Linked DNA regions of Saccharomyces cerevisiae S288C. The main gene of each other region encodes a partner of the protein of the gene in region 2 in a complex. Each region holds a gene or a part of one and is shown on either strand. Other genes may lie near its edges. The genes, in order: SNU23, SMD2, PRP31 and SNU13.

Evidence for each region.
Region 1: SMD2 (region 2) and SNU23 share a complex: the UniProt entries of both Saccharomyces cerevisiae proteins name them as parts of the U4/U6-U5 tri-snRNP complex.
Region 3: SMD2 (region 2) and PRP31 share a complex: the UniProt entries of both Saccharomyces cerevisiae proteins name them as parts of the U4/U6-U5 tri-snRNP complex.
Region 4: SMD2 (region 2) and SNU13 share a complex: the UniProt entries of both Saccharomyces cerevisiae proteins name them as parts of the U4/U6-U5 tri-snRNP complex.

Annotation. Positions count from the first base shown.
Region 1 is NC_001136.10:284,081-290,208, reverse strand, and holds SNU23 (U4/U6-U5 snRNP complex subunit SNU23), read left to right. Parts: upstream 1-5,043; coding exon 5,044-5,628; downstream 5,629-6,128. Other genes in the region: putative dolichyl-phosphate-mannose-protein mannosyltransferase PMT5, read right to left, coding at 1-300; dolichyl-phosphate-mannose-protein mannosyltransferase PMT1, read right to left, coding at 697-3,150; proteasome regulatory particle lid subunit RPN6, read left to right, coding at 3,514-4,818; BUG1 (Bug1p), read right to left, coding at 5,765-6,128. UniProt on the Saccharomyces cerevisiae protein: Participates in pre-mRNA splicing. Part of the U4/U5/U6 tri-snRNP complex, one of the building blocks of the spliceosome.
Region 2 is NC_001144.5:692,782-700,684, reverse strand, and holds SMD2 (mRNA splicing protein SMD2), read right to left. Parts: upstream 6,308-7,903; coding exon 6,303-6,307; intron 6,213-6,302; coding exon 5,885-6,212; downstream 1-5,884. Other genes in the region: YLR278C (uncharacterized protein), read left to right, coding at 1-686; cleavage polyadenylation factor subunit YSH1, read left to right, coding at 1,190-3,529; DBP9 (ATP-dependent DNA/RNA helicase), read left to right, coding at 3,855-5,639; MCM DNA helicase complex subunit MCM5, read right to left, coding at 6,803-7,903. UniProt on the Saccharomyces cerevisiae protein: Plays a role in pre-mRNA splicing as a core component of the spliceosomal U1, U2, U4 and U5 small nuclear ribonucleoproteins (snRNPs), the building blocks of the spliceosome.
Region 3 is NC_001139.9:661,937-671,093, reverse strand, and holds PRP31 (U4/U6-U5 snRNP complex subunit PRP31), read right to left. Parts: upstream 4,754-9,157; coding exon 3,269-4,753; downstream 1-3,268. Other genes in the region: DRN1 (Drn1p), read right to left, coding at 1-706; serine/threonine-protein kinase DBF2, read right to left, coding at 1,187-2,905; rRNA-processing protein UTP22, read right to left, coding at 5,023-8,736. UniProt on the Saccharomyces cerevisiae protein: Promotes the association of the U4/U6.U5 tri-snRNP particle with pre-spliceosomes to form the mature spliceosomal complex.
Region 4 is NC_001137.3:98,101-106,002, forward strand, and holds SNU13 (RNA binding protein SNU13), read left to right. Parts: upstream 1-3,842; coding exon 3,843-4,223; downstream 4,224-7,902. Other genes in the region: YEL028W (uncharacterized protein), read left to right, coding at 568-1,029; VMA3 (H(+)-transporting V0 sector ATPase subunit c), read left to right, coding at 2,669-3,151; YEL025C (uncharacterized protein), read right to left, coding at 4,481-7,902. UniProt on the Saccharomyces cerevisiae protein: Common component of the spliceosome and rRNA processing machinery. In association with the spliceosomal U4/U6.U5 tri-snRNP particle, required for splicing of pre-mRNA.

The DNA.
Region 1 (6,128 bases), on a different chromosome or scaffold from region 2:
CATTGCCACTAAAGGAGGATGAACATCGGTGAAGAATATGTTGTTCACGTATTGAGAAACAAATGTACCAACTTCATTTTCACCAAAAACAACACTATTTGGCAGGGAGATATTGTGTAGCCTTACGATGGCAGTAAATATCAGCAAACAGCCAACTAGAAGCTTTTCCTTAGATGAAGTAACTGTTCGTAATGAACTCAAATTATCACAGGGTTTTGTTATGAGAAAAGACCTCAAAGGGCCGCGTTTAATAGTCACATCGGGGATGGGATCCACCTTCAGCAAATGCTCTTTATTCATCTTTAAAGCAGTTATGATCTTACACACCTGCTTAATTGTTAAATCAATAAGAATATTTTCGAAAAAGAAGAAAAGAAACGGGTCTATGCATAATATGTACTACGCTTCTGTTCCTTTTCTATTGTTCTCGAATGCCTATTCGATAGACTTTTCGCGGCACGTAAACGAGTTCTTGGAAAAAAAACGGTGCGAAATGATAATACCACTGAAACTACTTGCAGATCATACTTATTTGAGCGAAATAGAATACGTGTCTCTAAACGCAGATGGACAATATAGTCAGCTTCAAGACATTTTTTTTATTCATGATGTTTTTTTTGTCTATTTTCGTTTTTAATTATACGCTCGAGAGCTTATAGAAGACTTTACATAAAAATGTGGAGAGTACTGGGAAATTTATTCCAAAACAGCCCTTTTTTCTACTTTTAAAATGTTAGCTCCCTCCTCTTCCAACATTTTTTTGACAACTTCTGGATCTAGTTCATTACCTTCTGTGTCTTTAAAGATTTTCTTGCCATCCTCGTTCATGAGATCTTCATACGACGGACCGTCCCCTTCTATAGTGATTTCTTCAACTGTACTAGTGGCGGCAGGTTGAGATTCACGTTTAGTCAAGGTTTGGTTTTTGTACTCTTCTAATGAAGAAAAGTATGTGTTACAATTGTAGTCCCAACCAGACAACCACTGCGATTTTTGACACAATTCTTGAGTCCATGGTGTACCGTAAATAATTGGACTGAAGCTCTTGAAGAAATACACAGAAGCAGCAAGGAAAGTGATCACTACCGCGTAGCCCATTTGTCTCTTGCTGCGGAAAACATAAGAAACTATTATGTCCAAGGCGTGGCCAAGGGCAAGAATACCGAAATAATAAGCAGGTAAGTAGTGATGCAAAAACATTTGACGTTGCATTAAGAAAGATGGAGCATAATGGACGGCAAAACCCAATAAGTAGTGAATAACCTGAACGTGGAAGTTAACAACCTTGGAGTCCTTCAAAATTGGTTTACCTAACTGCCACGAGAACAGCTCAGTGATAACAATCAATCCGAAAATACCGATGAAAGCGGTGACAGCCCACCATACGATCGCATTACCTAATAGATAGACGTTTCTGTTATTTTCACCCCAGTAACTTATACCACGTAGCAAGAATGGCCATGAAGTTGGTTGTGATTCATAAACATGAGGTTCGACCAAATTTTTATTGATATGCCACATCTTTTTATGGGATTCAATAAATTTAGAAATGAAGCTTGCAGGTTTATAGGAAATACGCTTGGTATCTTCTGGTAACAATGGGTTACTGTTGTTCTCAACGTACCACAATGTTAAATCATGTCTACCGGAGGAGGCACAGGTAACTTCTTGTTGTTCGAACCCCCAAGCTGGCAACTTGACTTCGTGGGAAAACAAATAACAGCCTGTCATAGCATGTCTCAATCTAAACTTTGTGTCCAAAGCTATGACCCGTTCTTGGGCAACTCCAGGAGCAGAATTCTTTTTATCAATCTCAACAACCCAGTCATCATTAGCATCACCGTCGAATCCGCTGTAACCATAACAAGAAACCTCCTTCTGCCAGTCGCTGCTTTCTGAAACGGGTGGCTTATGGTCATGAGAGTGTAATCTACATCTTGTAACAGTGTGGAATAGTCTGACCTTGGTACCATCGGTTAGGTTTTGGAATGTTGTTAAAGATTCGCCGGGTGCGTTGTAAAGTTCCAACAACCAATCGTTATTGGCATCCATGTGAGGATATAAAGTGCTTTGTTGTTGTTCCGAACCAGCTGGATAATTGTGTGAATGAGAATGCAAATAACCGCCCATGGTAGAGAGATGACGCAAGCTGATAATGGAGCCAATGCCGACATCAGCAACGACATTTTGGGGGATCTTATTGTTCTTTAGTGTAGATCTAAATTCAGGCGAAAAGAAGCTTGCGCCATCCCCGTCCAAAGTTAATGATTGGAAGTGGATATAAAAGAAGACCAGATAAAGGGCAAAAGGCACACCCAACAAGAAGGCCAATTTGGCAAATGCTACTTTGAAGATGGACTTGGAAGACTTAGTCAAATCCCCAATCATGAACCATAGTCTCCAGATACATAAAAGACCCACCCATGTAACCGTGAAAAGACCAACCCATTTGGATGAAGATGCCATACCAAGAGCAATACCAGTAGCAAGCAAGGACTTGTAAGCATTGAGCGAGTTGGCAGGGTACATTTCGTATTTCTTGAAAGAGTAGACTGCAGCTGCAATGAAAAACATCAATGGGGCGTCCAACAGAATGTAACGAGAAATAGTGACGTACGAGTTTTCAACGGCAAAGCAGATAGCGCTCATCAAAGCAACCCACATACGAACACCAGAATAACGTAAAGTCATGTACATCAAAATAACAGTAAGAGCCCCCAAAGAAGCAGAGAAAAATCTCATCAACACGTATGGCGTCGTAGATGGAAAGCTGTCACCAATATTTTCGAAGTCAAAATCACCCTGGAACCCACCAAGCGATGCCACACCAGCATACAACATCTTTGCAAGAGGAGGATGCACATCCATGAAGTAAGTCCCCCTAATGTATTGCGAGGCAAACCCACCGAAATGTACTTCATCAAACACCACGCTGTCAGGCCATGCCAAGCCATGCAATCTAATGACCGCTGTAAAGACAGCAAGACAGGCCACTAACAGCTTCTCTTTAAGAGTGACCATGGTTCGTAACGAGGCCAATTCGGCACTCGGATCGGTAACAATAAAGGGTCTTACGGGGCCCTGCTTGATATCCAGTTCGGGCACGGGATCATCCTGCTCTACACGTTTGTACGTTTTCTCTTCCGACATGACCGTGCTTGTAGCTGTTAGCTGTTTCTTGATAGGCTCTTCTGATACTACCTCGCTTTAACAATGCACCTGTTTGTCTTGTTTTGCTGCTCGAAAATAATCAAGATCTGCTTAGAAACGCCAAACTCTTCTTCGACACGTGTCGAGAAAAAAAACGCAGCGAAAAAAAAAAAAAAGGTATATCATCACAATATACGATATAAATGGGCAGGGCAACCCCGAATGATGTATATTCTCTTCTGGTTCCAAGGGTGGCAAATGTTGGTAGAAAGCGTAATTGAAGCAAAGATCCGTTAAATAAGGCCAACTAACAGAAGCGCTGAAAGAGGACAATTGGTGATTAATCTATAAACGAGGAACTTCATGTCTCTGCCAGGTTCGAAATTAGAAGAGGCCAGGAGACTGGTTAATGAAAAACAGTATAATGAGGCAGAACAAGTCTATTTGAGCCTGCTGGATAAAGACAGCTCACAGAGCAGCGCCGCTGCCGGTGCCAGTGTGGATGACAAGCGTAGAAATGAACAGGAGACAAGCATATTGGAATTAGGACAGTTATACGTGACTATGGGTGCAAAGGACAAATTGCGCGAGTTTATTCCTCATTCTACGGAGTATATGATGCAATTTGCCAAATCCAAAACGGTAAAGGTATTGAAAACGTTGATTGAAAAATTCGAGCAAGTGCCGGACTCCTTGGACGATCAGATCTTTGTGTGCGAGAAAAGCATCGAATTTGCCAAGAGAGAAAAAAGGGTGTTTTTGAAGCATTCACTCTCGATCAAATTGGCCACCTTACATTATCAAAAGAAACAGTACAAGGACTCATTAGCATTGATTAACGATCTTTTGAGGGAGTTCAAAAAGCTGGACGACAAGCCCTCTTTGGTTGATGTACATCTATTGGAAAGTAAAGTTTACCATAAACTGAGGAATCTAGCCAAGTCCAAGGCCTCGTTGACTGCAGCAAGGACGGCCGCTAACTCCATATACTGTCCTACACAAACAGTTGCGGAGCTGGACTTGATGAGTGGTATCCTGCACTGTGAAGATAAAGACTACAAAACTGCATTTTCGTATTTCTTCGAAAGTTTTGAAAGCTACCACAATTTGACTACGCATAATTCCTACGAAAAGGCATGTCAAGTGTTGAAATACATGCTATTGTCTAAGATCATGCTGAACCTTATTGATGACGTAAAAAACATCCTAAACGCAAAATACACAAAGGAAACGTACCAGTCCCGAGGCATTGATGCCATGAAAGCTGTCGCTGAGGCTTATAACAACAGATCGCTTTTAGACTTCAACACGGCGCTAAAGCAATACGAGAAGGAACTAATGGGCGATGAACTAACAAGATCCCATTTCAATGCATTATACGACACGTTATTAGAGTCCAATTTGTGTAAGATTATTGAGCCATTTGAATGTGTGGAAATATCCCACATTTCCAAAATAATCGGTCTGGATACTCAACAAGTTGAAGGAAAGCTCTCCCAAATGATACTAGATAAGATATTCTACGGTGTTCTGGATCAAGGTAATGGTTGGCTTTACGTTTACGAAACTCCGAATCAGGATGCCACGTACGACTCTGCATTGGAATTAGTCGGGCAACTAAATAAAGTCGTCGATCAACTATTTGAAAAGGCAAGTGTCTTGTATTAGGTTTACATGTATATATATGTATGTATACTCACAAGTACCAGAGTAAGAATTCCTAAATAAACTTATAAAATGCAGAAAATACATAAGTATGATTTTTCTTTTTTTTCTCCTAAGAAAGGAAGAAGTTTAATCGAATGCGCCGCTAAATAGAAAACAGTTGATGCGAAAGTTCATCAAAACCAGAAGTTCCTACAAGCCTTAGCTGACAAAAATTCGAGAAAGCTAATGTCGAATTTTGGCAGAAGAACTTGGGATAGAGAGGAGTATGCTGAGCAGGCTAGAAGCGGCTATGACGATCGATCCTTAAAGGCTACGCTAACACCGATTGAATTACAAGCTTTAAAATCCAAATATACAAATTACGATCATTTAATCAAGGGCTCGCTAAAAGACCTAAATAAAAGGAAACTAACAGCAAATACAGAGAGCTTATCGTCTTTCAAGAGGGGAAAGAAGTTCGGATTTTACTGCGATATTTGTAACCTAACCTTCAAAGACACTTTACAATACATTGATCATCTCAACCACAAGGTCCATGCAATAAAATTTGAAAATTTGTTTGATGAACCGTTAATTATAGATATAAGAGATAATGATGACGTACCGCAAGAGGAGTTTGAGTTGTGCTATCATAACTTGATAAAGGATTTTGTAGAGGTGCGTTCTATGGAGACTCAGTCCAAGAGGAAAAGGCTTTTGGACACAGATGTGGAGAAAGCAAAGAAAGTGGCTACTAAGCCTTCTATTGAGAGTGAATCAAAAGTCAGTCAAATGATGGGATTTTCCAATTTTGCCACCTCTAAAAAATGAGAAACCAAGTAAAGATAAATGAGCATAATACAAGCATAGAGCACATATAAAAAGTCGGGACTCAGATCAGATCATTAGATATATCTTTTATGTATATAAACCCTTAATTAAAATATATACGCGAAAATATTCATTCTCAAAATTCCATTATTGGGCCAGAACCAATACTTCTCCAAGTGGTCATGTCTACGTTCCACTGGCGCCATTTGTTCAGCATAACGCGATCCACTTCCATATTATTCCCGTGGGCCACCTGCGTACCAGAATTGGTTACAGATTGTGAGGGAGTTAGATTATTGCTTGAAGTGTTGAAATCCGCAAATTGAATAGGAGTTGCTGTGGTATTTCTTGCTGCCTTAGCTTCTGCTAATTTTAATTTTTCTACTGCGGCAATTAATTCATCCCTTGCGGTTTGCAAATCGTTTTGTAAACCATTAATGATGTCTTCTTTTTCCTGCAATTGATCCTGTAGGTCATCGACAGTAGTTTCATTTTCCATA
Region 2 (7,903 bases):
GTAATCCTCTACAATCTGCAATATTCTCTAACCATACAAGTGAAAATAAGCAATTAAGAGATGTCGAAGAATCAAATTTCAGTACATCACCCCTAAGAGCAGATTATGGCAATAATATTATCTCCTCGATACCAGCGTCATTTACTAGCAATTCAATTCCGGTCAGTGTCAAACAAGCTCGAAATGGCTCTTCTTCGGGCGATATACTTTTCAGCAACGGTGCTCATGACATGATCAACAATATTTCCACCTGGACCAATAACTCCGTTCTAGATGCTTTGAATAGCAAGTCCATACTACAAACAATATTTCCCCAGAGTCAAGAGCCTTCATCTCTGTCCATGGACAAACAGCAGCAACAACATCAACAACAAAATATGTGTTCTGAAAACAATGTAACCGCTAATAATTTTCAACAGACGCAGAATGACCCTTCGTATAACAGAAATTTGTTCATGATGTCCAATCAGGAAGGTGTACAATATAATCTTGACGAAACAGAGAAGAATGGACCTAAAACACAGGTGGAAGCAAACACTAGCGCAAATCTGCATTTCGACAATGTTATTCCTACAGTAACTAACGCAGACATCAGGAAAAAGCGTTCTAACTGGGATAACATGATGACATCTGGTCCGGTAGAAGACTTTTGGACGATTAATGATGACTACGGCTTTTTAACGTGATACTACATTAATATAATAGTATGTACAAACTCATTCCTTTTTTTTTTTTTTTTTTTTTTCTCTTTTTTTTTAAAAGAACAACTAAATCGCTTTTTTTAATTATGATATGGGTCATATCTTATAAGCCTAATCTAAAACACATTTTTTTCTTTCATTTATATTGTTTTTAAAATCAATAAAACTCTTTCTTTCCTGTATAAAGTCCTCTCCAAAAGACTAAGTAGCGTGTTTGCAAATAAATACGGGTAAGCAGTTATTCTGGCCGAAAATTATGAAAAACTAGCGGATCTTTAACAACTTCTACTGCTTCAGCGCAATACATATTGAGATCACATCTAATAGGTTCAAAATGTTCACGGGTATAAGCGTTTATTTCTTTTACCCTTGTTTTCAGTACTTCAAAAGTTACAGCACAAAAGAAACATTGTATTATCAATTGAATTTTGTCCATTGAGGAAATAAAAAGTAACATAATAAGTTAACATTAATAAGTATACGCATATATGGAGCGAACAAATACAACAACATTCAAATTTTTTTCATTGGGAGGAAGTAACGAAGTTGGACGATCATGTCATATATTGCAATATAAAGGTAAAACAGTGATGCTCGACGCAGGAATTCATCCGGCATATCAAGGATTAGCTTCATTACCTTTTTACGATGAATTTGATCTTTCCAAAGTCGATATCTTACTGATATCACATTTCCATTTAGACCATGCCGCTTCACTTCCGTATGTGATGCAACGGACTAACTTTCAAGGCAGAGTTTTCATGACACATCCAACCAAAGCCATTTACAGATGGCTACTGCGAGATTTTGTAAGAGTTACTAGTATAGGTTCTTCATCCTCCTCTATGGGGACTAAAGACGAAGGTCTATTCTCAGATGAGGATTTAGTTGATTCTTTCGATAAAATTGAAACGGTGGACTATCATTCTACTGTTGACGTCAATGGTATCAAATTTACGGCATTCCATGCAGGCCATGTATTGGGTGCAGCGATGTTTCAAATAGAGATTGCTGGCCTTAGGGTGTTATTCACAGGTGACTATTCGAGAGAAGTAGATCGTCACTTAAATTCTGCTGAGGTGCCTCCACTTTCATCCAACGTATTAATTGTGGAATCTACCTTTGGTACCGCTACTCACGAGCCCCGTTTAAATAGAGAAAGGAAGCTAACCCAACTAATCCATTCCACAGTGATGAGAGGAGGCCGTGTTCTACTGCCTGTTTTTGCTTTAGGGAGAGCTCAAGAAATCATGCTTATACTGGATGAGTACTGGTCTCAACATGCTGATGAACTCGGTGGTGGACAAGTCCCAATATTTTATGCATCAAATTTGGCAAAAAAATGTATGAGCGTTTTTCAAACCTATGTAAATATGATGAATGATGACATTAGAAAAAAATTTAGAGACTCTCAGACTAATCCCTTCATATTCAAAAATATATCTTATCTTAGAAACTTGGAGGATTTCCAAGATTTTGGTCCCAGTGTGATGTTGGCCTCACCAGGTATGCTGCAAAGTGGGTTATCAAGAGATTTACTTGAAAGGTGGTGCCCTGAAGATAAAAATCTAGTACTAATCACCGGTTACTCCATCGAAGGAACAATGGCGAAATTTATTATGCTTGAGCCAGATACAATACCTTCCATAAATAATCCGGAAATAACCATTCCAAGACGTTGTCAAGTTGAAGAAATCTCCTTTGCCGCACACGTTGACTTCCAGGAAAATTTAGAATTTATTGAAAAGATTAGTGCGCCAAATATCATCCTTGTTCATGGAGAAGCCAATCCCATGGGCCGTTTGAAATCTGCATTGTTATCCAATTTCGCGTCTTTAAAGGGTACAGATAATGAAGTCCATGTTTTTAATCCTAGAAACTGTGTTGAAGTAGATCTTGAATTTCAAGGTGTCAAGGTTGCAAAAGCTGTGGGAAATATTGTGAACGAAATATATAAAGAAGAAAACGTAGAGATAAAGGAAGAAATTGCGGCTAAAATTGAACCTATAAAGGAAGAAAACGAAGACAACTTGGATTCTCAAGCAGAAAAAGGTTTGGTTGATGAAGAGGAACACAAAGACATAGTCGTTTCTGGGATTCTAGTTTCAGATGACAAAAATTTCGAATTAGACTTCCTTTCTTTGTCTGATTTAAGAGAGCACCATCCCGATCTTTCTACAACGATATTAAGAGAGCGCCAGTCAGTTCGTGTAAATTGTAAAAAGGAGCTAATTTACTGGCACATTTTACAAATGTTTGGAGAGGCTGAAGTTCTTCAAGATGATGATAGAGTAACAAATCAAGAACCAAAGGTTAAAGAAGAGTCAAAAGACAATCTGACCAATACAGGTAAATTGATTCTACAGATAATGGGTGATATTAAGTTAACTATTGTTAATACTCTAGCCGTTGTGGAATGGACTCAAGATTTAATGAATGACACTGTAGCAGACTCCATTATTGCTATACTTATGAATGTGGATTCAGCTCCCGCCAGTGTCAAGCTTTCGAGTCATTCTTGTGATGATCATGATCATAACAATGTGCAGTCTAATGCACAAGGTAAGATTGATGAAGTTGAGAGGGTGAAGCAAATCTCAAGGTTGTTTAAAGAACAGTTTGGTGACTGTTTTACTTTATTTCTCAATAAAGATGAATATGCAAGTAATAAAGAGGAAACTATAACTGGAGTGGTTACCATAGGTAAAAGCACTGCTAAGATTGACTTCAACAATATGAAAATTTTAGAATGTAATTCAAATCCTTTGAAAGGTAGGGTGGAAAGCCTCTTAAATATTGGTGGTAATTTGGTCACACCGCTATGTTAAAAACAGTTACGCATACTAAGTAGACTACTTTATAGAAGTAATACCAAACCAAAATCTGGTTAGAACTGCCTTTTATTGTTTACCTTAATCACTCTTTACGTAATGAAACCTAGAGATGAAATTTTAAAAATTTTTTTTCACGAACATAAAGAATAACTCTTCTAGACCATCTCATCTCATCTCATCTCATCTCATTTCATTTCGATTCTTCTAATTTCTTTCATTGAGTAAGAGCCTTTTGTTTTGGCTGATAGTTATAGTCAATCTACAATTTATCTCACAAAAGAAATAGACTAAGCCAAAACTGCAACGAAAGATCAAAAAAATGAGCTATGAGAAAAAGTCTGTGGAAGGCGCTTATATTGACGATTCTACAACGTTCGAAGCATTTCATCTCGACTCTCGTTTATTACAAGCTATTAAGAATATAGGATTTCAGTACCCAACATTAATTCAATCACATGCTATTCCTTTGGCTTTACAACAGAAGAGAGATATTATAGCAAAGGCCGCTACAGGTTCCGGAAAAACTTTGGCATACCTCATTCCTGTAATTGAAACTATCCTAGAATATAAAAAAACAATTGATAACGGAGAGGAAAATGGTACACTAGGTATTATACTTGTTCCAACAAGAGAACTGGCTCAACAAGTATATAATGTTTTAGAAAAACTAGTCTTATATTGTTCAAAAGATATAAGAACTCTGAACATATCATCCGATATGTCTGACTCAGTTTTGAGCACTCTACTTATGGATCAACCAGAAATCATAGTTGGTACACCTGGTAAATTATTGGATTTGTTGCAAACAAAGATTAATTCTATCTCATTGAACGAACTAAAATTTTTAGTAGTTGATGAGGTGGATTTAGTGTTAACATTTGGTTATCAAGATGATTTAAACAAAATTGGAGAGTACTTACCATTGAAAAAAAATTTACAAACATTTTTGATGAGTGCAACCCTAAATGACGATATACAGGCTTTGAAACAAAAATTTTGTCGTTCTCCAGCTATTCTTAAATTCAATGACGAGGAAATAAATAAGAACCAAAACAAATTACTTCAATATTACGTTAAAGTCAGTGAATTTGACAAATTCTTACTATGCTATGTCATTTTTAAACTTAACTTAATCAAGGGTAAAACATTAATTTTTGTAAATAATATTGACAGAGGATATAGGCTCAAGCTAGTTATGGAACAATTTGGTATCAAGTCCTGTATTTTAAACAGCGAGCTACCCGTTAATTCGAGGCAACATATTGTTGACCAATTCAATAAAAACGTTTACCAACTATTGATTGCCACAGATGACACCGAGTACATAAAAGAGGAAGATGACGAAATAGAAGAAGGGCACAATACAGAAAATCAAGAAGAAAAAAGCTTGGAAGGCGAGCCTGAGAACGATAAGAAACCAAGCAAGAAAAAGAAGGTCCAAGTGAAGAAAGATAAGGAATATGGTGTTTCTCGTGGTGTTGATTTCAAAAATGTTGCATGTGTCCTCAATTTCGATTTACCTACGACGGCTAAGTCCTACGTGCATAGAGTAGGTAGAACTGCTCGTGGCGGAAAGACCGGTACTGCAATTTCATTCGTAGTCCCACTGAAAGAATTTGGTAAGCATAAGCCATCAATGCTACAGACAGCAAAGAAGGATGAAAGGATTCTTTCACGAATCATCAAACAACAGAGCAAACTTGGATTAGAATTACAGCCTTACAAATTCGATCAAAAGCAGGTCGAGGCGTTCCGTTACAGAATGGAAGACGGTTTCCGTGCTGTTACTCAAGTTGCCATTAGAGAAGCTAGGGTCAAAGAGTTGAAACAAGAACTATTGGCAAGTGAGAAGTTGAAAAGACATTTTGAGGAGAATCCAAAAGAGCTACAAAGTTTAAGACACGATAAAGAATTACATCCAGCAAGAGTGCAACAGCATTTAAAGCGTGTTCCAGATTACTTGCTTCCTGAATCAGCCAGAGGAAATGGAACCAAAGTCAAGTTTGTTCCTTTCCACAATGCTAAGAAGCGCCATTCACATAAAAAGGGAAGAGTCAGTAAGCCAAAGAATGGTAAAGTAGACCCGTTGAAGAACTTCAAATGATTAATAATATTGATATTTATTCTATATTTTATGTAAAAATCTACTTATTAAAAATGCTCTTTAGTTAAATGTGATAATATAGATGCTTTATTCGTTTTCTTGAATATAATACTTTCGCAAGAGCTAGAAAATCAGCCAATAATAATTGGTCTTACTTCCAAAATAAAAAAAGGCTTTCCGCTGACTGTAAAGTTTCTTACGATGATTTGCTTTCCTTGTTGATTGAGGGCTGCTTGTCTTACTTTTTACTCAACAGGGGTTTTTAACACAACGATAACTGAATCACCTCTTAAGAATAGTTTACTTATGAATCTTTCCCGATTAATTACATTTTTGCCCTTCTTCTCTGTCCAAAGCTCCTTCACATTTTCTAAAACCATATTACAATGCCTGTCGAAAGCTTTCACTCTCGCTATTATTTTATGATTGTTTCTTAATGAGATTATCACAGGTGTTCTTGTCACCATAGCATCATTTATCAGGGACATTGGACCATGTTTGAATTCAAATTCTTCTAGTTCCTCTAATTCTGCTCTAGAGAGTTCATGTTTTGGACGATCAATTATTTGTGAACTGGAAAGATACAAATCAATTACTTTTAAGTTAGTATATAAAAATTCACTCCAAATTATAGGATGTAAAAATGGTTAAGATCAAACATACGACATGATAAAACGGTTTTATAATACTCCTCTAATCAACTGTCAAAGGCGGGGCAAACGTGATGGCGCTTGCTATTAAGAATGATGATGTTCTAGTGATGATGTTCTTGTCATACCTTTTGAGTAAGATAATTTTCATTTGGTAGTATTACCCGTAGTAATATCACGATAGGACAAATTGGTCCCCATAAAGTCACTTCAAGAGCTCATGTACTGTAGGATTGTTCAGTGGTAAATCGACCTCTATTTTCTAATTTCTTTCGTATGTCTTTGATTTCAATTTCTTTTTTAAGAAGCTTTGAATTATTTTGATTGACGGTCATATCAAGTCTGTGCGTTTATTATACAAAAAGAATATGAGACGCAGATGAAACCTCAAAAAGTATAATTTCGTTTACAGAATTTATATAGAAATATAATAATGAAGTATTTGTAGCGAATTTTTTAGATTCATTACATGCAAACAAGTAGAAAAGGCGTCAAGCTAAGACTTTATTGTTGTCATACACCACTTCTGTAAATATTCTGTCCCTGGTGTCTCAATTGAATTGTTTCATGCTTCTCTAGGGCATATAAGGCCTTATCCAGTGCTAATTGAGAAAATCTATGTGTATCTACAAATTCTCTCCTCAAAGTTTGATAAGAAGTAGACCAGCCTATAGGTAATCTTCTTTTTAGTTCTTGTTCAAAACGACGGATTTCTGACAAAGATGTTCCGCTTGCTTGATTTAAGCCGCCAATTGGATCCTGAGACGCTGCGTCCATTGTGGAAGCTTGAAACAATCTAATAGCTTCGTCAACATGTCTCTCCTGTGCAATAGGACTTAATTCTAACTTGGCTAATGATTCTGTTATTCTAATAATAGCTTCTAATTGACGAATGGTAATTGGAATAGACGACCTTTCCGTTGACTCTAATTCGTTGATTAATAATTGCTTCCTAATGGTGACGAAGTTCGATGACAGTTTTTCAGCGGCCTGCGGTGAAAGTCTTGGTGCACATTTCAATCTACAATACGTAATGTAACGTTTCATCTTTTCAATACTAATTTCACTGCCATTTTCCTCTTGTTGGTTTTGCATAGCATTAGCATTTCCTGTATGAATATTAATAACGTGGTTAGCTATTGAAATATCACGTTCTTCATTATGGTCATCCTTAACAATAAAAATCATATCAAAACGGGATAAAATAGTAGTTTGGAAATCAATGTTGTCACCAGGAGACTTCAAATCATCATACCGGCCGTATATCGGATTAGCAGCCGCTAAAACACTAGTTCTAGAATTTAGCACTGTAGTGATACCAGCTTTTGCGATGGAGATTGTTTGCTGCTCCATAGCTTCATGAATGGCCACTCTATCTTCATCTCTCATTTTATCGAATTCATCGATGCATACAACACCACCATCGGCAAGCACCATAGCACCACCTTCCAAATAAAATTCTCTTGTCATCGGATCTCTTTGTACACTGGCAGTTAACCCAGCTGCAGAAGATCCCTTACCAGATGTATATACCGCAATAGGTGACACTTTCTCCACAAATTTCAATAGTTGAGATTTGGCGGTACCTGGATCACCTAATAATAGTACATTGAT
Region 3 (9,157 bases), on a different chromosome or scaffold from region 2:
CTAGTGGCCTTTTATTGCTGTTTGTAACCACGCTATTATACGGGTTAGCTATCAAGTTGGGCGGTTCAGGTTCATCCTTTAGTTCGTTGTCCCCTATTGGCATATTGAATGCATAGGCCCATTTCTTTCCAGATCCATATTTTGGAATATTGAGGAACCTCGATAAGCGCTCTCTTTCCCACTGGAAAGGCTCTAATTCGTAAAAGTTTATTTCATCTGAAAAGGCAAAATGGTACCTTGCTTGTAACTTTTTCGCCAATTCATCAACAACTTCACTTCCAGACAACCTTCCACATCTCTCAGAGATCGAAAGGCCCCATTCTTTTGTAAGGAGAATGTCTACCTGATCCTCACTTTTGCCAAATTCGTCCAGTATGCTTTTTTTCTCCCCTTGAAGAGTATCATCCGGATAAATAAAATATGAAAGAGTGATTCCATTTGCTAATTTATAAGTACCCATATTATGCAGCAATGTTACATTTTCATTTATCTTTTTGGATTTCGAATTGTTAGCCTTATCACACGATAGTAGTATTAGTTGAGGTAACCCATCAGTATTCAGCTCAAAATTTTCATCATACGAGTTACTGAATATAATTATTAGATCAAAGGGCCCTGATTTTTCATTCACTTTCTTGATCTTTCTGATAGCCTCATCGGCATCGCTTTCACTTATATGAGCTACTAAAATCTTTGCATTTGTCATCCTATTTTTATATGTAAGTTTTTGAAGTGAAAAAGATATCAGTAAACCATAAGCCCTTTTTTATATATTATGGATCCTTCTAAGAGAGCTACCTTGCGTTTTTTGTACATCTAGCAATGTAGTATCAGTCCAATTTGTAATTATCATTGAAAAAACAATTGATGTTAACACCCATTCCTTTTCATTTTTTGCAGATTTTCGATTAATAGTGGTCATTGCTGTTTTCCTGTAAAACATTACCAAGTTTCGCCGCTCCCAACATGAATGCTTAAGTTTAGTTCAAAACGGTCATGGGATGGACCGTTACCGTGAACTGAGATTTTAAACAATGGGCTTGAAGTCCTAAGTAATGCACAACTATATATATATATATGTATATTTATGAAAAAAGCGTTCATAGGTGCTAGTTGAAAAGTTTGCATGAAGCTCGTTAAAGCTAATTATATCGCGGCGAATGCAAGACAAGAATTCATTTTTACGCTAGTAAAAGGTTGAAAAGGGGTCTGAGTGTTCCAGTCCGTTGAATAAGATGCCACTGGAACCCTGTTTACCATTTCTATGTCGGAAAGTGAACCCAACAAGTTTTGATGATACTGCCGAGTCATCTACCATAGCCGTTAATTTGTCTTGTCTTTTGAAAACATCAGCATATTTGGCCATGTCAGCCTCACTGGTGAAGTCATCAAAATAACCGGCATCAGTTTCGCTGTCTAGTTGGGGTGTAAAAGGCGGGATCATTGACCTCAAAGTACTAAAGTTTATATCTGCAAAATAAGACATGCGTTTAACATGTTCGAAGGATCTTAATCGATTGATTGGATCGGCAATCAATCTTGTTATTAAATCCCAAGTTCTATCGGAGAATGCTGCCCTCCCATCAGATTGTCTCGGTCTTCTTAAAGTTTGTTTCCAGCGCCTTAAGTTGTCATAGGTCTCATTAGTCGATGATCCACTAAATGGTGTATAACCAACTAAACTTTCGAACAGCATACAACCCAACGACCAGTAATCCACAGTAAAGTCATATTTCTTTCCTTCTAAAACCTCCAAAGCCATATAATCCGGAGACCCAACCATGGAGTTCGCATAATTAATTTCCTTCTCCCTCAACTGGTTGTACATTTTTCTTCTATCTTCTATAGATTTCTCTGTAAACGCTGGAAATTCCAGGTCCTTGATTTTTTCTAACCTTATCTTCATACTTTCAATTCTTTCATTAGAAATCGTACCAGCAGCCAAACCAAAATCTGTTAATTTTATATGTCCCTTGGCATCGATTAAGAAGTTTTCCGGCTTTAAATCTCTATGTGTATAGCCTAAATCATGTAACGCATTAACAGCGCAAAACATTTCACTGATGTAAAATCTCGCATGGCCACTTTTCAAGCATCTAGTATTTATTAATAATGTACGAAAATCACCGCCTGGTACAAATTCCATAGCCAGGTATAAACTTTGTAGGTCTTGGAATGCATACAGAAGTTTTACTAACCATTCAGACCTTGTCGTGGTTAGGATATCTCTTTCAGTTAAAACGTGTTTTGTCTCGTTGAGCTTAAACAATAGTTTTTTGTTCAAAATTTTCAAAGCACACACCTCTTTTGTGTCTTTCTTTCTGGCTAAATAAACTTGCCCATAACCACCTTGACCTACTTGTGTGATCATTTCAAAATCCCTATTTTTTGGTTTCAACCTTCTTTTTCTCAAAACCTGATGTTCCCTTTGTAAGTAAGAGGACCACTCTTCGTTGAGTTTAATCTGGTCAGAATTCGGAAGTTGGCTTTGCTGTTGCAGGTATTCTAGAACTTGCTTCGTGCGTTGTCTTCTACTAATTACATAGTCAAACATATCACAGTAATGTTCTAGAAAGTACATTTTGCAAACACTAACAACTCTCTGTGTTTTATTTGAAGTTGCTCTTTCGTAAAACTTTGGTGGAAGCTTCTTGGGAGAGTTCGAGACATCCATATCAGGTTGAGATACTTCGTCTATGTCCATGTTGGAAGTATCTTCGTAAGGAAAAAAGGATGGTTTTACCGGCGAAGGTGAATCATTGATACCCGCAGGCCTTGTCCTCCTCTTTGTTATATTTTGGTTAGGAAATAGTCCAGTGCCCCCAGGAGTCCCATGCCCATCGAAACTCAAATTGCTCATATTGCCTGCCAAGAGGTCGACATTTTTTTCTGATTTTGATAGCATATTAAAGAATTTTTCTTTAGCAAGGAATACTGTAGATGTTGCTTGAATTTTTCTGGTATATTAGTTTCTATCTTTAGCAAGGTTTCTATCTTACAATAATTTACTTGGACGAATTGCCTCCTTGTATTTATTTTTAAATAAACAACAAGCGGAGGGCTTCAACATCAAGGTAGCTTCGAATGATTTAGATTGAGGAATGAAACATGTCATTGTTTACTTTTTGAATAATTACATTTCCTAAAAAGGGCATCTGGGTTGCAGCGTGTGGTGTTTGGCTTTTTACGAAATTTATGAGCGAAAACGCTCTCGCCGGTCACTACTATATAATATCTTTTTAAATATTATCAAGTATGTAGAAGAGCCCTAACCATGACCGGAAAACCAATTGGTCTCTTCTTCTGGGTTAGTATGCTGTTTCTTGTGCATTTGAACCATCTCTGGCGACAGATTCGGTTGCTCTGTATTATGACCCAAGGAGATTAGGAATTCGTCAGCTTGCTGATTAGCCTCAGAAATCCTGTGCTTCATTACCTTTGTTAGCTTGGCTTGATTACCAGCAGATCTTCTGGAACCTGATGTAGCTCCTACTGCTTGTTGTAAAGAAGTATTAGACATACCCAAACCAACTTCTTCACCATAGGAATCAAGAACAGTTTGTTCTTGCTTGCCAAATTCCATCCTATTTTGTAATTGTCTGACATGCGATAGTCTGAATTTTTCCTTGTACTTCCTAAATTTTCTCCCAGCTCTTTTCTTTTTGGGTTGGTCCTCCGGAATAGGTAGAGCCTTCGTTTCAGAAATGCTCGGGGCTTCTGATAGCTTTCTAGCTTTCTTCGATAGTTCGGCTTTCCATTTATGAGCTAAAACTGTATTTCTATCACCGTTTTTCTGGCCAGCATCAACTCTTGCGGCTAGTGATACTTTTGCACAAAGCATCCTAAGCATTTGTTTATGGACAGAAACGGGAAATTTCTGAATCATGTCAGAAGCAAATAGATATCCTTCTTGTCGTACTCCACTCTCTAATGTATGTAACTCATGTGAGAGGTGCTTATTCTTCCCAATGGACGCAATGTTGCAACTGGGAATGCGACTGAACTCCAAAACCCCTCCAGCATGTGCTATTAATTGGGCTGCTATCTCCGGGCCTACCAAGAAACACACGTTAGGGGCAATTATTGATATCTTTGAGGCTATGTATTGACCTATATCTTCTTGTAGTTTCCATAAATTTTCCAATATGCTATTTGCTTCTAAAATTTGCGTCCTCGTTTTGATGTCCAATGGCTCTTTGTTTTTGAAAGACGTCTTCATGGACATTGTTAAAACGAGGATCTGCTCTCTGGTCAATTTTGCTTTATTTTCCAAGTGGAAAAATAGTTCATCACTTTCGTTTTTTGAATAATTTTCATTTTCCAGTATGCTTATCACTTTTGAGTATTGTAATGGTGATGGTATCAATGAAGATAGTTCTGGAAAACGTCTACTGTACAGTGAGATTAGAAAATTGTGCATTAATTTTATATTGCTCTTGATGAGGGGGATGATTTCGTTAAAAAACGGTAACAGTTTAATGAAATCTATTTCTTGTTGTTGAAGGATTCTTTTTAAATCGACAATTTTTGGTAAAATCTGTGCTGTCTCTGATAGAGATAACCTATCAGGACTGATGAGTGCCAACGTCCTGAATAATTCTATACTTTCCGGAAGAATTTCGAATGGATTGAATTTTTCTGTTTGACAATTTACCGTAGTGAGCTTTTTAGTTTGTATGTCTTCTTTTTCCTCATTAACTTCATCGGCAAGGTCATATTCGAGCTCATCGAAATAGTCCTCTTCAGAGCTCATAAGGTCTTTGTATATTTTCTGCAGCCAAAATGCTATCAAATAGTGCTAGTTGAGGCGTTCAAATCGTTTACCTAGCTTTATTCTGAGCGTCGCCACAGCAGTACTATTCAAAACTTTTAAAAATACTAAGTTAACTTGTGCCAAATCGCCGAAAGGACCACATCTAAAAAAAAGAATTAAAGAAAAATATTCTTTATGTAAACTGCCGGCTGCTTTAATTATTTAATATTATACAGATACTTCTAAAAGTTATGATTTTGTTGTTTATTCTAATCTGTCTCAAAATTTATAACCATGTCATTCCCGAATGCAGCAATCTCATGAAATATGGCTTCTTTATTTAAAATCACATTCTCATCATCCACTGGTTTAACGTTGCAATCCAAGTTTACTCTAAATTTGTGGGCTCCCTTGAAGAGTGGCTTTATTAGCCCTGTGATGACATTTTTATCTCCTTTCTCTCCACCATTCACACCTATATACTTGCGGCTTGATAAAATCAAACTATTCTTGTACTTCAAGTTCAAATACTTCACTAACTGGTATGTTGGATCCATTTTTTCACTTAAATCATTCAAATTCTCTGGAAAGTTCGATGGGGCTTGATCGTTAGTTATATTCTTGAACTCTGTGGCTGAAAGTATACCACAGGATGATTTCAAACCTATTGGTGTCCTCAAATCAACGACAAAATCGTAATCTTTTAATCCAGGCGTGAATAAAAGATTGATAGTTTGCTGGTTTAAACCGTGTGTCTGTAAAAGATTCACGGCTACTTTAGCTAATGCTGTAAGCCTTGTAGCAATGGGTAGTGGGATACCTGATGAATAAAGAATACCGCTTGGATCGTTCTTAGAGGCAACAAAAAATTGCAAATGTGTACCGTTGGGATCACTGTTCCTCAAGTTCGTGAAGTTCATTTGAATGCCCTTATATTGTGCTAGGGTTAATCTTTCAGAAAGCTTTTTCATCGTTTTGGAGTCTAGCTCTGAGCCAGCTCCAATACTTGTTTCAAATGTATCTCTTATATCATCTTCTGGTTTTACTAGATCTAAAATCAATGGATCATCTTTCCAGTTCCATTGACTTATAAACTTAAGCACTTTGAGGAAACCGTTTTCAAGAGAACCTGGAATGAAATATGGTGCAGGATCAACAAAAGGTTTAATGGCAATCAACTCTGCTAATTCGTCCGTTATATGACCTAGTAATAAATGAGTGTCCAACCATCTTTTGAATAGTCTTACCACAGGGGAGTAGAATTGATACGAATGAGATATATTCTCCAAAGTACGAGTATGTCTTACGGAAGCCAGATATTTTGCAGTAAATTTTAGGAATGTGGCCTCCAATTCTGGTTTCAACTCATTCCTAGCATTCGCTATAGCTCTTAAATAAAGGATTTCGTCACGTTCAGTTAGAACTCTGAATTTGAATCCATAACCTTCAGGTGTCAAGATGTTCAAGGTTACAATTTCTAAATTGTATGGGATGGATTCATCTCTGCTGAAAAACGACCTATAAGTTGAAGAGTTAGCGCTTAATTCTTCTTGAATTTTGAGAAGAAAAGCTGTTTTAGCCTTTTCTAAGGAAGTAATTTCATCTGGCCATTTAGGTGAGGTTTCAAATTCCAAAATGACGTCTTGAAAGAAATCTGGATCAGAGTATGCGAATGGTACTGGTTGGCATAAGGAAGTGTATCTAAATGCAGAGCCAACCGGTAAGATTGATTTTACAGAAAGCGGTAACTTCATTTGGAAAATTATTTTGTATAAATCGTCAAAGGATTTCTTTAAGTTGAAAAAGCTGCTCAAGTTCAAAACTGATGTTTTAGCACTTGAGGGTAAGTTTGGCAACGGTAGGAAATTATGAAACTTCTTGATAGTCTCATTTGATATTTGTGCCTTTTTTGAAACATGTTTCTGCAATGCAAAGTTAACAATTGAGGAAATGATGGGCTCTGATGAGGATGTAGACCAAACACAACAATGGGTGATGGAGCCATCCTTGAATCTTCTTAAGGAAGATTTAATTCCCCAAAAATTCTTAAAAACGGCTGCTTCTGTAGACATAGTTTCAGAATGAGCAGGGCCCTTGGTGACTAATTTGTCACATTCAGAGGGGTTAACAATCAATTTTACTCTTACAAAATCAAAGTTGAAATGGTTACCTCCTGTGTTAGAGTACACTTTTCTTTTGGTGATTGGAAAATCGGACTTTTGACCAACCATTTCAATTTGGATATATTTGATTCTATCGCCCAATGCATACCTTGCAACATTTGTAATCTTGTGGGCGAGGAAATTCTCCAGAGTAATAAATTTTACTCTTTCCATTGACCCAAATGTAGCAGCTAAAGAAGTTTCTAAATTATTGTACTTACCCAAAGGTAACTGTACATCGTAACACAGATCGTACTTCAAATTGTCAAAACGGCTAATATTAGTCAAAAAAATATTTGAGAATTGGTCTTGAACAACGTTGTTTAGCATTCTCAATGTTTCACCGGCATATTCTTTCAAAATTTGATAAGAAGAAACAGTCATTTTTGTAAGAATATTGACCTTGGTTGACTTATCAAATAAGGTTGGAGTTTGGAAACCCTCATCAATATATTTAGAAGCTGGTGAACTGGAGGAATTCTCTGGATTAGAATGAAATTGTAAATGGCCGTCGTGGCACAAATCCATAGTGGCTAAGTATTTTATTACACCTTTAAACAATTGGTATGATGAAAACCCGTGAAGTAATATCTTGTTACTATTTATACCACCACCGTTTAATAACGCTGCCATCAAGATAGTAAATTCAAAAGTACCGAATCCACCCAATGAACCAGAATGCGACATATTGGATGAAAACCCACGTTGCTGCAGCCATAATCTACCTAAAACAGTAGCTTCAACAAAAGATTCTGTTTGTTTCTTCGTCTTGTATAAATACTTCAGGTAGTTTTCATGTGTTGAAGAAGATAACACTGAAAAATTGTAAAGAGGAGTGGCTGGTAAAGATTGCTCTTTGCTTTCTTGTGCTATTCTAATACAGTTTCTATTGGGTAACAGTTTTTTTGGTTCAAAGACTTTGTATGGGAAACCAATAAGCAAGTTGATAGAGAATCTGGTCTTGTAAAAGTTATAATCAGAAAGAGAATCACCCGTTGGTTTGGAACAACTAATTCTTAAAATTGGTAAAAGCGGATCATTATCAAAATAAGAATACTCGAGTTGCAAAAATGAGTCTAATTTATCTTTTTTCAATAATATCAATAGGTGGTGGGTTAGGTATGCTAAATAAACGCTCCTCTTGTGTAAGCACCTGAAATTTAAGAAATCTTTTTTTTCGAACAACTCCTTTGGCATTGTTAGTAAAGTATCAATGGAAGAGCCGTTAGGTTGATAAATTCCAGCTTTAAGAGCAAAGGAGCCAATTAAGGAGATGTCTGGTTTCTTGTAATTGAATTTATAATTAGTATTTTGAGGAATAGGTTTGGGGTCAACAAATGGAACAGAAACAATCTTGTTTTTGAAGAAGGAGTCCACTTCAGCTAATGACTTTTCCTCCCAATCAGGAATTTCCTGGAGAATATCATATAACTTGTGTAGAAATTTTTCGACTTTCAGAACATGTTTTTGTTTTAACTTCACTTGCTCCAGTAATTCGTCAATTTGTAACTTGAAAATATTAGACTTGAATAATTCAGCCGTTTCTCTAGCTATGTGAATATCATAGGACTCTGTTGCAGTAACCTTTCCATTGTGGCGAGTCGCAGCAGTGTTAGTAGCGACCTCGTTACTTTCAGGTGAAGTATCGCTTTCGTCGTTTTCTTGCTCGGGCACGGTACGCTCGTTGATGGCTTGACTACTGTGATCATTTTCTTTGGATCCGTTGTCAGTTGTGCTGTCCTGTGTGGAATGTTTCTTTTGCACTTTAACAATATTCTGGTCAGAAGTCTCAGATGCTTTTCTTTTAACACTTGTAGCCATGGTATATGAAGGAGATCCTTTGTAAAATTTCTATGAAAACTATAATGTTCTACCCCAAAGTGATTATACCTGTGGTTTCAATAATTCAATCAGAGGATAAATCTAACAAAGGAAACTTTGAAGATTTCTTGGAGTTGGTTCTTAAAGTGAAAGCAAATATCTGGCCTTCAAAAAAGCAAAATGAAAACGTCCTGTTTCCAAGTATAAGAGCTGCCGATTTAAATTCTATTAAAAAATAGAATGGAAAAGTATAAGATTAAAACCCTTTGGTTTGCTTGAGATTCTTGACGTAAAGTGCTAGTGGTACATATTGAAATTATCATTTGGTTAAATTTTCCAAATTACAATTGAAATTTTTCAACGGCATGCAGCGAGCCGTAGGCCGACGTTCCCAGGCAGTGGCCACCACCGGTCCTGCCTA
Region 4 (7,902 bases), on a different chromosome or scaffold from region 2:
AACAATAAATTAGGTTTGGACTTTTGCAGTATTTAATGAGAGTTGGTGGCCAAGAATAATGGATGATAGCGCATCAAAAAAAGGAAGCTGATATGAACGACTTCACATAGAACTTTGACTCTTCTACAACGTGAATGCCTTTGATAAGAATGAAATTCCAAAACAAGTAGTGTTGGGAGGTAAATTTCCTCCACTGCTAATTCCAACTACGTGTGCATTTTTCAATAGTAATATTCCGTCACAAGAGGCTTATTTTCATTTTCTCTACCCTCATCTTTTTTTCACTTTTTTCCTTACAATGAATACATGTGATATAGATACTTAATTGTCTGTTTTGCGAGCTTGCTTCTTCATATCTATGTAATATGGGCCAGGTCAACCCAACATCTACCAATTATCTATATGATGAAAAATATGATTGGTAGTTACCGCCAATGCATAGATTTTAGACAACTTAATAAGGCCATGTTAAAGGGTGCATTCCCACTATCGCGCTTAGGATTGGATGAAGCATAACTTTTCTTCACTGTCAAATTGCATCGTAGTTATATCAGATCCAAATAAAAAATGAAAATAACAATAACAAGCCTTCTATTTTTTCTTGTCATGATCGTCGAGCTCGCAAGTGCGGGCACACTACTTCATAATGGTGCAAATTTGCCCTCATTACGTGATAACACCACTCTAACTGATGCTCGTAATGTGTTAAAGTACTTACAAGTGCTTGGTTTTCCAAGCAACAAAATAGCGGCTACAGATACTGTTGGAACTTTTATCATATTTAGCAATCGTACGGAAGCTAACACTACCGCTATGACGAAGACAGTGTCATACTGTTATCGTAACTACGGGCATAGTTTCTACTTCACTCATTACAAATACGACTATTTTCCTAGCGGGATTAGTTATATGGCAAAACTTGGCGATGCCACCGTCAACCATACGGACTTACCTCACTTTAGGAACAACAAACGGCTAACAACGCAAGAACTCAATGCCTTCCAACATCCAATTGTCGAGTTTCAGTAAGTACTCAGGTATTACGTTATGTACATGTATGATAATTCTGATTAACATCTTTTATACACAAAGATGTATGCATGAATGGTGCAAATATCTCGACGATGCGCAGTAAAGAAAGCAATTTACTACTAACGTCTAGCGATATCATAGATGATGACAGGATAACGATATAGGTTAGATGGATATTGGAGTAATTGTCAAGTCCCATTTTGATTGAAGACAACATTATTAGGCCTACAGAGTTGCTAAAATTCTCCACTAGGTCACAGGAGTTCGCAAAAGAGAATCAACAATCTACATAACCATGCACACATTTCTTCGTCCTCTACGTTATAATTTACTGCTCTAAAAGCGTCACTTCTCCTTTCATTTTATGTTTTATTGTTCATTATCCTACTGCGTTATCAATCCTTACATTTCGGCTTCCACTAAATTTAATGACTGCTTCTCATCATTTCATGTCTTCTAACGCCGTATATAATAATATCCCAGCAAAATATAACTGTTAGTTAGTGAATCATAACCGACTGTTACTCCTGCAATATCCATGGGAGAAATCACCATCGGAAGGTAAACTAACACGTAGGTATTGATTCTACCGGAAATGAACAAATGTCGTACTGCCCAAATGAGCCAAATGCCATCATATACGCCTTCATAACTATATTTGAAAAATACCTTTGCCTAAAAGACGAGTGGTATTGGAAACTTCAATTAGTGTTCAAAAATGTCCAGTGAGAGGATGAAGTTGTCGTGGTTGAAACAGCATAAACCACCTAAAATAGTATCAACTGACAACAACTGTGGAACACATGCGGTTACTTTTATAATTAACCGCAAAATACCTGAAATGAGCTAAGAAATAGTAATTATAAACATGCCACTACAAGTAACAGATTAAGTGATATGTTGGCGGACCTCAATATAAGCGACATGGAGAGATAGAGATAGAAGAATTTGTTATTGTGTTAATAAATAAAGTTAACATCCAGTTCTTTCAAGTTGGCTAAGCGCCGTGGCGCAGTGGAAGCGCGCAGGGCTCATAACCCTGATGTCCTCGGATCGAAACCGAGCGGCGCTAATTTTTCATTTCTTTTTGCCCGCAACAATAACACAGATCGCAATCATTTAAGCTATAGACTATAAGCTTTAACTTCTGCGTTATTATTAATAATTGTTATTGTTTTAGTTAGGTATTTCTATCAACTTATTTTATATATTCTATATTACAGTTTTCTTTTTTTACAAATTCACCCAGCAATTATTTATTATTAATTGTACATCTTCTTTAATAATGAATTTATTATTGCACAATATTCAACTTAGGAAAGATAGAGGAACTGAATTCTTTATCAGCAATGAAATAGGCCGTCTACGGCCGTCTACGGCCTATTCCATTGCTAAAAATTTGAATCGTATAAAGGGATATTACCCGGAAAAGAAACGCATTAAAAAAAAAAAAAAAAAAAAAACAGAAAAAGTGGTTAAGTGATTGACTGACCCTTGATAGTTTTGTACAATTATACACTCGTTCTGATTAAAAACTTGTTTATAAAAATCTTTTTAAAAGAAAGAGAAGATCGTGTTTATTGCTTTTCTCAAAAAGACTAATCAATTAGAATAACAAAAGAAACATATACATATAATGACTGAATTGTGTCCTGTCTACGCCCCTTTCTTTGGTGCCATTGGTTGTGCCTCTGCAATTATCTTCACCTCATTAGGTGCTGCTTACGGTACTGCTAAGTCTGGTGTTGGTATCTGTGCCACTTGTGTGTTGAGACCAGACCTATTATTCAAGAACATTGTTCCTGTTATTATGGCTGGTATCATTGCCATTTACGGTTTAGTTGTTTCCGTTTTGGTTTGTTATTCGTTGGGTCAAAAGCAAGCTTTGTACACCGGTTTCATCCAATTGGGTGCCGGTCTATCAGTCGGTTTGAGTGGTCTAGCTGCTGGTTTCGCTATTGGTATTGTCGGTGATGCAGGTGTTAGAGGTTCCTCTCAACAACCAAGATTATTCGTCGGTATGATTTTGATTTTGATTTTTGCTGAAGTTTTGGGTCTATACGGTTTGATTGTTGCTTTGTTGTTGAACTCCAGGGCTACTCAAGATGTTGTCTGTTAAGGCAGCTTCTGAATCACTAAAGCAGGAATAGAGTATACAAAAGAATCTTTTTGTGAGAAACTATGAAAACTATCAAAATTTTTCATCTTAGAGATTGTTTATAGCCCCTATTCTTACTTCATATCCAAACTACCTCATTTCAAGCTTCCTTTTTATTAGTACCATTATTATTGTTTAAAAGAGTATTACACGCTAAATATGTATATCTTAATTTTTAATGTGTATAAAATAGAAAATTTGAATATCAAGGAGCAACAAAGAGCATTATGCGTTTTAAGCTACACAATGGGTACGATGAGATCACTATACCTGTACTCTTAAAAGAGGCCCAACCTTATCAACTTCTATTGTTAAAGTAGACAATTGTATCGTTTCTTTTTCTTATCGGTTTTATCCGGGTAATAAATTCAGCATATAGAAAAATTTTTCATTTCTATTTTCTTTTTCTTTTCATTTTTCCTTTTTCTCAGAAAATTTTTTTTTCTAATGCTGGAATGAGATGAGTTAGAAAATTTTTCACTTTAAAACTGATTATTCTGGTTAATAGTGCTTATTCCTCTTAGTGTTCAAGTCCTACTTTCAAATCTTAATTTAAATCATCATTCGAGCGAGCTTTCTATACCAGGACCATACTGATTATTGCAAGGAACTTGAATAAACCAGATTTCATACTATAAAAACTATATTAAAAATGTCTGCCCCAAACCCAAAGGCTTTCCCATTAGCCGATGCTGCATTAACCCAACAAATCTTGGATGTCGTTCAACAGGCTGCTAACTTGAGACAATTGAAGAAAGGTGCCAACGAAGCTACCAAAACTTTGAACCGTGGTATCTCCGAATTCATCATTATGGCTGCTGACTGTGAACCTATTGAAATCCTATTGCATTTACCATTACTATGTGAAGACAAGAATGTTCCATATGTCTTTGTTCCATCTAGAGTTGCTTTAGGTAGAGCTTGTGGTGTTTCTAGACCAGTTATTGCTGCTTCTATTACCACCAACGATGCTTCTGCTATCAAGACCCAAATCTACGCTGTCAAGGACAAGATTGAAACTTTATTAATTTAAGTAGATTGGATTATATCTATCAACATAGTTTTTGTACCATCTATATACTATAAAAAAGTTTTTTGCTTTCCACTAGTGCAGACGCTAATAGTGCTGTTTTGTTAGTGGTATGATATATGTCATATCTTCATTGAATAACCTACTCGAGTGCATCTGTAAATGCACAAACATGTATTATCAATTGAGCTGTAGTAATTTAGGCATAACAAAAAGGTGCAAGATCTCATGGCACCTATTCGTTCGTAGGAGATTTATTGTCACCTTTTTAGTTTTACAGGATCGAAAAAATCTATGGTCTTGTATGGTGAATGATCTATATGTCTTCTCTTTGAATTTCTAGCTAGCTCATCAAAGCCGCTTTCATTTATTCCAGTCTCTTTACTCACGGAATATTGTTTAGTAACATTTCGCATGCTTTTCTCAGACCTTCGAAAAGCTCTTTTACATTCGAGCTTGATCTTTTTGTAATCATGCAACGTTCTCATCCACAGCTCACCAATGAATTCCGATATTATATAAATTTGGCCCTCAGTACCGCAAAGTAAAAATAGAGGTATGACGCCTTCCAACCTTTGACTATTGAAATTTGGACATATTTGAAGGTTTTGAAATCCATCTGGGATGGCCGCCAGTGAGATTATCTTATTAGGTAACCGAATTTTGAGGTATGGCATAGCCAACCCGCCCTTATCAACTGATAATTTAGAATCTTCGTATATTGTCAAGGTATTATCAATACCAATGGTGGCAACATAAGATCTATTGGAATATTTCAACGTTGCACAAGAAAGGTCTGATAATCGACCTAATAGATAGTTCTTATCACTCGCTAAACAATCGTTTTTAGGTTCTCTTAGCTTCTTAGGAATTATTTTAGTCGCCACTTGTGTAATGCTTCCCAACCGCTTAAAACCCAAGTAGGGACATTCAGGGTACTCTGATGGATATACTATGGACGTCCTAATTGGAAAGCGGGTTCTCAAAAAATCTCTCAAGATCTCAAATTGAACCAGATAATCACCACTCATATAAGCTGGAAGACCTATATGGTTAATCGATGAAAGTGCTGGGAAGGAATAGGCCTCTAAAATTTCCGCGCCCTCTTTTAGCATGTTTATTTTATATGCTGCTATGCCACTATCACCAGAAAATAAAACCAAGTTGCACTCATAGTATATGAACACCGAGAATATACAATCTTCGAGATAATTCGCGTACAATTGGGTAATGTTATTGTTTCTAATTTCAAACAGCCAGAATTTTGTACGTTTTTCACCAACTCCTAAGCATACAACAAACTTATTACCATAAAAGGGTCTCTGTGATAAGTAGATTGAGTTTTGTTCTGGCCACAGTGGCTTCACAACGGCATGTAAATACTTTTCATCCGAGAAACTGAATGTGGAAACTGCCTTCATTGAAGCATAATTGAATAGCATCAACTTATACTGCCTACTATTGCTATCGACCAAACACACCACGGCCTGATTGAGGTTATTTGGAACAGTATAGAGCTCTACGGGAATGCTAGGGAGGTAAAAGATATGATTTTCTAATTGAGGTTTTAATGAAGTCATCTGCTTAGTGAAACCTTCACGGTAAAACGTGCTACCAAACTCAAAGATGCTTATTCGAGAATCATAATCTAAAACACAAAGAGAGAACAGTGCTTTACCGGGTCGAATTCTCATTCGTCTTGGAACTAAGCCTAACTGTATGCAACCATAAGACATGTTTTGAAGATTTAACAAAATTATTTCCTTATCGTTGTAAAGGAAAACCAAAGGTAAGGAAGGAATCGTATCCAACAGTTCTAATTTCTGATCGTATAACGAATGAATCTCTAAATCCACTCTCAAAAAATTTGATTCTGATTTGTAGACTCTTACGCAGCCAGTGTATGATGATGCGATGACATAAATCGAGTCGTGTTTATGCTTTTTGCTTAGCCAAGATATTTTTATCAATTGATCATAGGCTATGAAAGAATAGTCTGGATGTGATGTAGCCACTTTCTTTTGATTGGCATTCCATACCGAAAACACACCGTCCAAGTAAATGACAAAAAGGTATTTCTCGGCACCATCTGAGAAACAGCTCACAATACTCTCTTTAGAATTGAGCCCATGGATAAAAAATTCTTCTTTTTTACGTAGAAAACCAGATTTTGCCTCAAGTATCGAAATCCTGAGCTTGGAGTTCTGTACGGGATAACAAAACATGGTGGAAGAGTTGTGGTTCGACTGCAAGAAATCGACCTGCCTAAATTCTCCGGTAGAACCATCCATACCGGCTTTCAAAACTTTTCCCGTCCTAGAAACAAATAGACCGTAATCATAAGGCTCATCCATTAAAAATATTCCGTTCTTATAAATCAACCCACCTGATTCATATGCAAATTCGTCACCACCATTAAGTGCTAAATCTGTAACCCAAAAATCAGTTACATTCTCTACTAGCGCTTTGGAGGAAGTCACTAACTTGAACAGGGTTTTGTCATATACCAAAATTTTCTTTTCTAAAAATCCTCTTCTTGAGTTAAAACTTCCACCCAAAAGCAGTGAATCAATATCTGTCCCCTTGTTTCCAATAACTTGTGATGCCAGGTAAACTTTGTTTGTATAAGCGGGACCGCTTTTCACCTTTTCTAATTTTGAACCTCGATGATCTTTCGATATAAAATTTACTCCATTTATTCTTGTCACCGCTATATACTTTTCACGTGGGAGCTGCAAAATAACATCGCATAGATCATGTTTAGGAGGCTTGAACACTCTTTCTTTTGTCCATTGTAGTTCTTTCAGGACGTGGTCTCTATGTAACGACCTAGTGTGTATCTTGGCAGTGTATTTGTTAGCATACACGTCAGAAATTGTCAAGAGAATGACTGATCTTTCATATATCACATCATAAGAATCTTTTAGAAATTGGTAGTTTTCTACATTTGGGAGACCTTTATTATTGAAAAAAGCCCCGTTTGTAAGCCCACTTGCTTTTATATTTATTATTTGAGTGTAGTTAGTAGTCAACACTACAATGGTATGGCCGCAAACTACCTTCATATAACAAAATTCATTATCACATATCGGCAAAAGATTGTATTGGCGGTACTCGTTTAAATCAAATTTCCTACTTCCATGCTTTCCAGCAAGATTGTATTCCTTTAAAAACAGGTTTTCACTATAGCAACTCTTAAGTAGGCAAAGAAAATAAACGTGTGATTTACCTGTGCATGTGGCGTCGTCAAGCAAATCCTCCCTGCTAATAAAATCAAAGGAGATAATTTCTTCGCCATCGGTGGCATAAAATCTTTCGACTATTCCTTCTCTGAAGTCAAAGGAGTAAATTGTCGTACATAACGTATGCAAATCACTATCATATGATATGTTTTTATTGCAAGTGTATAAAACACCCTCAAAGGAAGCATTTAACCAGCTGGAAGTTAATAAAGAAATAGTATCCAGTTTCGGAGCCACATTAGAGTCGTAGATAATTTCAAATTTGTTATTTTCGCATTTGAATCCCTTAATGGAACCGTCGTTAAACATTAGCAGGTGACAGAAGGAAGCTGACATGAACATCGGTACAGTTGCGTAGTTAACAACGAACGGTCCATCTAAAGCGAACTCAACCTTCGCTTTCAATTCGTTGGACGTTCCGGTATACAATCCATAGCTAA